2 linked regions of the Caenorhabditis elegans genome follow. Each later gene encodes a partner of the first gene's protein in a complex. Each region holds a gene or a part of one and is shown on either strand. Other genes may lie near its edges.

Region 1 (3,924 bases):
TTTGCCGGAAAAAATCGTTTGAAAGCCCAAATTTTACGCATAGATAATTAAGCCCCTCTCAGAAAAATTCAAGATGAACTAATTGGTCACACAAATTAATTAAAAGCTCTTTTTTATTTTAAAATGATTAAGTTAACAATAACCTCATGAATCTGAATCTTCGAGGTATGTCTTCCTTCAAATTCGTTGGGTTTCCAATAGAAAATGTTCAATTTTTTATCACTTTCCTTTAACTTTTTCGTAATTTTTATTTGTTTTTTTTCACTTTCTTCTTCGCAGTTGCTTTTCCGCGTCCTTGTATAGTAGTCGTCAAAGCAGTCGGCGGCGTTCTATTTTTTTTTTGCTTGCTTGCTTTTGCTATGTCTCGTGTGTGCCCAATAACAACAACAACCACATATATAGCCGTCTTCTGGATATATATGTATGTGGGTGTGTGTGTGTTATGGCTTTTCTTCGAACTTTTTATTTCACTCGGAAACTTTCAAGATTTGTCTTTTCTGATGCTTTTTAGGATTCCAGGAATTTTATTCGTTCGAACTAGTAAGTATGAAGTTAGAGTTCACAGCAAATTTTCATCAAAATTCGGAAAAAAACTGGTTTTTATATCGTAGCCCTACAAAAATAGAGAAATAAAAAAATCGAAGGGTCAGATTCACCAGTGTTATTTTTCGATAATTTGTCAGAAAAATTTGGGAATTAGAAACTTTACGAAGTCTAGTGAGTTGCAAATTTTTAAGAATCAAATTTGCTAATTTTCCTTCTTATTTTCGGATCAAATTTTCATTTCATATGAAATATTTCATAAAAAACAAAAAATCAGATTTTGTAGATAGAGCCCACAATGTAAAGGAACTACAACATCTGTAGAACCGGATCTGTTAGATTTTTTCTTCGAGTTTTACAAAATTTCAGACTTCCCAAGTTTTTTGTTTGAGTTTTGGCTCAGAAATTTCGAACATAAAACTTGGAGAATCAGATTCCCGGCTTTTAGAGAAAGTTCCGATTAGGGGCACCACAAATTGAGAAAACAAACATTCTGGAGAATCAGAGTTTCGATTTTTTGTTGCCAAAAACGACATCCTTGCTCCAACTGTCAGCATGCCAAACAACAGACACCCCTGTTGAAAATTTTAAATTCCAAATGAAACGGGGATGGGGTACATCGTAGTAATAGTAGTAGTTGGTTCTTAGGGGAGCACATCTCTGCTTCTTCTTCTTCGCAGCTTTTCGGTCTTCTGCGTCCGTTTGAGTGGTCAGTCAGATGTATGAGAGTGCGTTCCGTATCTCTCTGCGTCTCCACACCCTTGACCACTCTCTACGCCGTCGTGCTCTCTGTGTCTCGCCCGACTATCTCGAATAGAAAGTGACCACTGCTACATAATATTCGAATTCGCGGGGGGGGGGGGGTCTGTCTACTGCTGCTGCTGCTGGGTGGCCGTTTTCCTTGCCACACACTCTCTCGTCTCTCTTGCTCTTTGTGCATCTCATAGTTTGCTACTCGCGATCAGCTGTAGTCAACGTTCTCATATATACAGTATGCTTTTTGTTGAAAGTTTTGCCATATTGCCACGGCAAATTTTTTGGTACTTTAGTGGTTTTTTATTTCAAATCACCACGAACTTTTATAATTTTCCTCGATATTTGCATTTCCTCATTTTTTGCCAATGAAATTGTAAATTTTTCGCATTATTCTGTATGCTAGCACTTGTTTTCCAGCTTTACTTTACTCCCTTGTCCTCTCCCCGCCCCCAAAAGTACCAGAATAAGGTGTTTCCAAATTAGTTGTCCTTATCTTTCGAGGAGCCTCGTTTTAGAAAATGTGTACTTTTCTGCTCAATTCCCGGACACTTTTTCCGGGAATTCAGAAAAAGTCTGAACCACTACTAATTCTAATGTGATATTCTGAAGTTAGTCTTCATAATGATATATGCTAGCAATTTATATAACTAATTTTTCACATGGCGCACACATATCCTCATATCAGAACATATCAGAAGTTCTTGTTATTTTCCCGTTCCCCAAAAGTAACAGAGTAATAAAAAATTTCGAAATCCCGAGGGACGGTCCTTGGGGAGGTCGGGGTCATCACCCTCAACGTACATGGTACCGGGGGCCTGGTGGCGACAGGTAGTGAGGTCTCTCTTCTCAGTCCTGTTAGCACACACACAGTGGAGGGGTGCGTGCGCGCTCGCTCACTCGCCTACAGATCCGAGATGAATCGTAGACGCGTATTGAGGAAGACGGTGTTGGGTGGTGATGGTGTCGTGGGGAAGGGGGAAGGATGCGTACTATCTCTATATTTCTCGAGAACAAGAAGAAGATGATGACGATTCACTTTCCTTCTACTCGTCTCAGAAAGACACGGAGGACGAATTCTGCGGGTGCCTTTTCCCCGAGTAAATTTTCACATGTTTACAAAAAATGTTCATTATGAGCCTCTGTATTGCTTAAATTTGTCAATCATAAAATATTTTAAATAGGCAGTTCTCCTGAAAATAATACATTGAAAAATTTCGTTATTAAACCATTTTTGGTTTTTTTGTTGGAAATTTTTTTGTTGGCTTGATAAATTTGGCACAATTTCGTTTTCCGAGAGGAGAACAACTTTTATTTCCTTCTTCATCTATTTCCTCCTTTTTTTCAGAATTCTCTAGAAAAAAAACAAAAAAAAAAGAAGGCGTCCTCTCTCGTCATGAATGAATAACACTAGTTCCGCCTCACTTTTTCATGTTCTTTTTTCTTCTTTCTTTTTTCTTTCTTTTTTTCAAGTCCAGAAATTCCAGGATCAAGCAGTTCATCCGGCTGTAGTTCGTCATCTACAGAGCTCTACGATCTTGCAGCTGCACACGCCGCACTTATATCCCGACAGCAACAGATTCTCAGTCAGGGTGTGTTTTTGTGGAAAAATTAAAACAAATTGAGTTTTACATGTCCGGAAATGTGTGTCTCGCCACGAACTTTGTGGAATTCGTTGGGAGACCCTATTGTTTTTTTTAATAAGCTAAGAAATTGAGATTTTCGCTCATTCATGTGAAAAAAATAACGCTCGCTAATCTTTGTATTAGAATTAGAGTTGATTTGCTTTTATAATCCAGTTCAATTTGTCTACAAATTTTCTTTTTAAACAATTAAACTAGTTTGGAAAATGGATAATTAATTTTTAAACCTAACCGTTGAATTATTGATCGAAAAATGAAAATTAATTAAAAGTACTGTAAACTTTAAAGGAGCATACCTTTAGTTTCGTACTGGGTTCCACCACGATTCGAGAAATCATACATTTTATAATATTTTCTCGATTTTCGTGCCTAAGATATCTTTTTTTAATATTTAATTGAAACAAATTTTTTATTTTAAAATGTTCATTCTAACCGAAATTTCCAAACCCCATTGTTTGCTCCCGAAACACGAATTTTCAAATAGTTCAGTACTGTAAGATTTAAAGGCGCCCAAACTGTCTCTTGCAGTAGGTCTCGTCACGATCGGAGAAATTCTAAAAAAGTTTTTGTTTTTTCGTTTCGAATTTTTGTTTTTCTGCTCAATTTCTTCGCTTTGTTAGCTAAAAAATGTGTAAAATTTATCATTAAAAAAAACAAAGTTTCAACAATTTTCAGTACCTCTTCATATAATTCACATGAAATTGTCTAATTTTTAGCCAATTTCAGAGGATTTTCCGAAAAACTCAATAATTAATCAAGAATTGTTTCAGCAATCCCAATAATACCGGAACACCAGCTGGCCGCCGTCGCCGCTCACCATCAACATCACCAGCAGCTTCACCCATCGGTACAGTACCAGCTCGTCGCTGCCGCCACCCATCACAATCATCATCAGCCGCAAGCGGCACAACCACACTATTCAGCAGTTGTGCCACGATCTGACGGTTTGTTAAATAATGTTTTAAACGTTGAAAATTGTTTTTTT
Region 2 (3,924 bases), 8.0 Mb from region 1:
AATTAGCCGTAGGTGTGTGGATTTTAAAAACTGTGTCATCAAGGCATCACTTTCAAATCCGTTTTACTGAGAAAGTGTCCTTGAATCGACGTTCTTCCGTTCGAAATCTTCACGCTTATGCAAACATATGGAGACAGATGTTTTCTGAAGCGATAGGGAGAAAAACGTGGGAAACAGGTGCAACAGTTGCTTTTATTTGCCAATTTTTTTTTGGTTTTTCTGCAAAATTTTCGACTATTTCTCTGCCTTTAATTTCCATTGAAAATTCCTGTATTTTTCGTAAATTTTTTGCCAAATTATGTTTTAAATTTCTCAAATTTGTACCCGAATTCACAGGAATCATTTAGAACACGATTTGTCGATATTGAAACAAAAAACTCAAAGTTAGTTGATTTTCAACAACACGAATAAGCTGAAAATTTCCGATTTATCAACATAAATCATGTGAAAAATGCAATTTTTGACTTGAACCCTACTTTTAGAGGTGAAAATTGAGGAATTTTGCAGATTTTCGGCCAGAAATAGTGAAATATCAGTTTTTTTTGTTAAAACTGAAATTTAGCAGAATTTCAAAAAGAAAAAAAAAACAGGTTTTGCATTTCACAAAAAAATGTTAAATTCTCTAAAATTGATTTTTCCTCGCCGCTGCTCTTGATTCTTCCAATTTCCGGTTCATTTTCAATTCCCCTAAATCCGGCTTTCATTTTTTCTTTTCCTTCTTCTCATCCTCACGCCTCACTTGATATCCTCAAAGTCATAGATTCAAATGTTTCTTCGTCACATTTTTGTCTCCGATGACACGCCTGATGATTTAATAATGTGGTCAAATTGATTGATTACTAGTTGGTTGTTGTCTCTTTCTCTACGAGTCGTGTACACACTGATTCCCTTCAGCCTGAGCAGGTGCATATTATCCATTCGCCAATGCTTCTCCTTTTTTTCGAGCTAACTCGCAAGGTTTTGATTAAAATTTAAATAAAAAACTTTAATCCCAAATCCAGAAATTTTCACATAAAACATTTGTGTGGCCTTTCGAAGTAAACTTCCTGCTCAACGGCATCACATTTTCTTTGATTTATTCACTAGATTAACTTTCAGTATTGAAAGCTTCAATCGAATTCAAAATGTATTGATTCGCGGCGCGGAGGTTTCTAGGCCACCGGCTGTGTACTCCTCTCGGACGGGCGATGCCATTCTTCTTATCAGTTTAAATCTTTTTTTCATCGCAAAACTTACTGATAAACTTTGTGAGTTACGTATTTAATAGGAATAATTTTCTCTCCGCTATTTTCGGATTAAATTTCCCCGAAACATTTTGCAACTGGCCGTTCGTCCTGCTGTTTGAACAGCATTCAAGTGTTGACCCCCCACAGAGTATATACCCATATGAACTGATTTATTGGTTACCCCCGATCGTTTTGCATTTATTATCCATTCACCAATGTTTCAGAAATTCAAAATTTTCTACAAGTGGCTGACTATTCGAAAAAAAAAAATAGAATAAGGTGTCAAAAAGTCTGTCAATATTGAAAAAAGCTCAGTGTCCACTTGAGTATGTTTGACTTGGAAGGTGTGAATAGCAGTTGCTCGAAAGACAATAGGAAAGGGGTTTTGTACTTTTGCACAGCATTCTGAGTTATTTTCTAAAATGAAAAAAATTATTTTTTAAACTTTTCTGTAAATTATATTAAAATTGAGAAAAAAACTATTGCTTTGATTCAAAAAACTCATAAATTAAACAATTTTTAAAATATTTTCTAGTTGCTGCAAGAATTAGATACAATTCTCACAAATCCAAAAGTTCGTAATTCTTTTAACTTCTCTTGAAACTTCTTCATTTTTTTGTGAAATCTCCACACACATCCGATTACTTTCCTTTATTCCCCTCATCAATGGCGTTTTCTCAGGTTCTCACATCGAAATTTCTCATTTTAGCTTAGTTTCAGGTTCCTCAACGGACCTGCAACCACCCATCTGAAATGGATGTGGATTGCGCAGAAACATGTAGGTTCCCCCTTGAAATAATAATTATTAAAAAAATCAATAAAATTTCAGTCTCGCAACCATGCACTCCGCTGAATTTCAATCCGATGACTCCGTCAACATCGAGAGTTTCAACACCAGTTCGGCCGTCTTCTACAATGTCTGCCAGACAATATTCAGGTGAGAAAGATATGAAATTTTGGCTTTACTTCGAAAAAAAGATTAAAAGCGGCCAATTTATGCTTAAGATTTTTAATATTCGGAAAAGAATTATTGTAATCTGAGAATTACTTTCATTTAAGCTGGAATAATTGAAAAGTGCTCCGAAAATTGTCTGAAAGTTGAGAATTGCCCGACAAAATTTTCGACAAATCATCGAAAATTTTTTTCAATTTCTCAAACTGAAACAAAAGTTATCTTCAGATAAAGCAAATATTATTTTCTACTGAAAACATGCCACACTGGCTCAATTACCGCGTACCCCTGATCTAGAATGATTGAATAAAAACTCGTTTGCATAACAATTAATCCAAGAATTTCCTGGTCGATAACATATTCCAAAAGGCCATTTCGCGCCCTTTTCTCTCTCGACCCTCTCCAATCACATCACCTTATCACTTCCCCCATTCCATTTTCGTATGTCTCGTGTGTCTATGTGTTCCCCATTGGAAACTTCCCTCAAATTACATACCTCTTTTCACATATTCATATTTCATTTTTCAGGTTCGCCGTTCAAGGCTCAACCTCAGAACATGGAACCGTCCAATTCTCGGGTGCAAGAACTCCGGGAAGCTGCTGTGGGAAAGCGATCATACACAAATGCTTGGATGCAGGGTACCTATGCACCGCCGCAGATGGCAGGACAACAACAAAGGTTTTCGAGGCCTCCGAGTGTGGTAAGAGATTTTTATAAGAATTCCGCGGCTTGAACAGATAATAAAATCAAATTTCAGATCGGCTCCACAATGTCTCACATGACGAATATGTCAGAAATGACCGCCTACTCGTACGGTGGATTGTCAATGCTCTCAGTCAACACTGAAATGGGTGAATTCAACAATTTTGTCAATCAGGCACCATATCAGCGAGCACTGACACGTGTATCGCAGGTTTCCGAGAATCAGGATCCGACGAATCGACAGTATCCGATGACAGCTCCCGAGATTATTGAGAATCTGGAATCAACGGAACTAATCAATCAAGCAGCAGCGATTCGAGCTTTGGAGCCAATTGTGAAAGCTGGTGGAATGTTGCAAACCTGGGGACCTAAAGGAGCCGAACCGATTATTCGAGCTCTGTTTCAAGTTCTTATTCCTCGGCCAGTTGAGAATGAGAATGTAAGTTTTGCATAAATGTTCGTTGAAGGTTTTCATGGTAGGTAGGAACATCGTCATCCCTAAGTGGATGCCTACAGCCTAATATTGTTTAAAAATCTAAAATCTAAATCTAAAAAAATCTTTCAAAAAAAAAAAAAAATATATATAGATGTATTAAAATATCGTTTGACAACTCCATATTTTTTGTAGGTAATCCGGAAAGCGTTTGAAATTCTCCACCACTCAATTCTTCTCTCCAACAAGGAAATCCGACGTATCGACAGGATGTTCTTCCGACTGAATGCGGCATTAATGGATCCCAATGGGCCGCCTGTGTTCAATGTACCAAAGCCATACAGTATCTATGAGATCGTGATGACACGTGCCATTCAACTTGACACGAAATTCGAGTCCAGTGCTATGGTTCTGCTCGTACATCTTTGTTGTAAACCTCATTTCATGAAGATTTTCTTTGGAGAAGATGAGACTCAACAGTCACCAGCACATCGACGTCTTCACAAAATAGTAATTGAATTTGCAATTGGAAACCTGAGAAGACCGGAAACGAAGTCAAAGAATAAGGGACTTTGTGTATCGATTATTAAGAATTTGTCGAATAAAAATG

What was found.
Region 2: lit-1 (region 1) and wrm-1 share a complex: the UniProt entries of both Caenorhabditis elegans proteins name them as parts of the beta-catenin-lit-1 complex.

The regions. Positions count from the first base shown.
Region 1 is NC_003281.10:13,711,789-13,715,712, forward strand, and holds the start of lit-1 (Serine/threonine kinase NLK), read left to right. Parts: upstream 1-2,256; coding exon 2,257-2,396; intron 2,397-2,769; coding exon 2,770-2,888; intron 2,889-3,709; coding exon 3,710-3,883; intron 3,884-3,924. UniProt on the Caenorhabditis elegans protein: Has a role in the Wnt signaling pathway controlling the asymmetry of cell divisions during embryogenesis. Operates in the AB and EMS cell lineages influencing cell specification.
Region 2 is NC_003281.10:5,720,904-5,724,827, forward strand, and holds the start of wrm-1 (Armadillo repeat-containing protein wrm-1), read left to right. Parts: upstream 1-1,946; 5' UTR 1,947-1,979; coding exon 1,980-2,004; intron 2,005-2,055; coding exon 2,056-2,163; intron 2,164-2,706; coding exon 2,707-2,879; intron 2,880-2,936; coding exon 2,937-3,320; intron 3,321-3,509; coding exon 3,510-3,924. UniProt on the Caenorhabditis elegans protein: Antagonistic role in the Wnt signaling pathway that operates in embryogenesis. When located at the cortex it has been shown to inhibit Wnt signaling during asymmetric cell division but when relocated to the nucleus it shows positive regulation.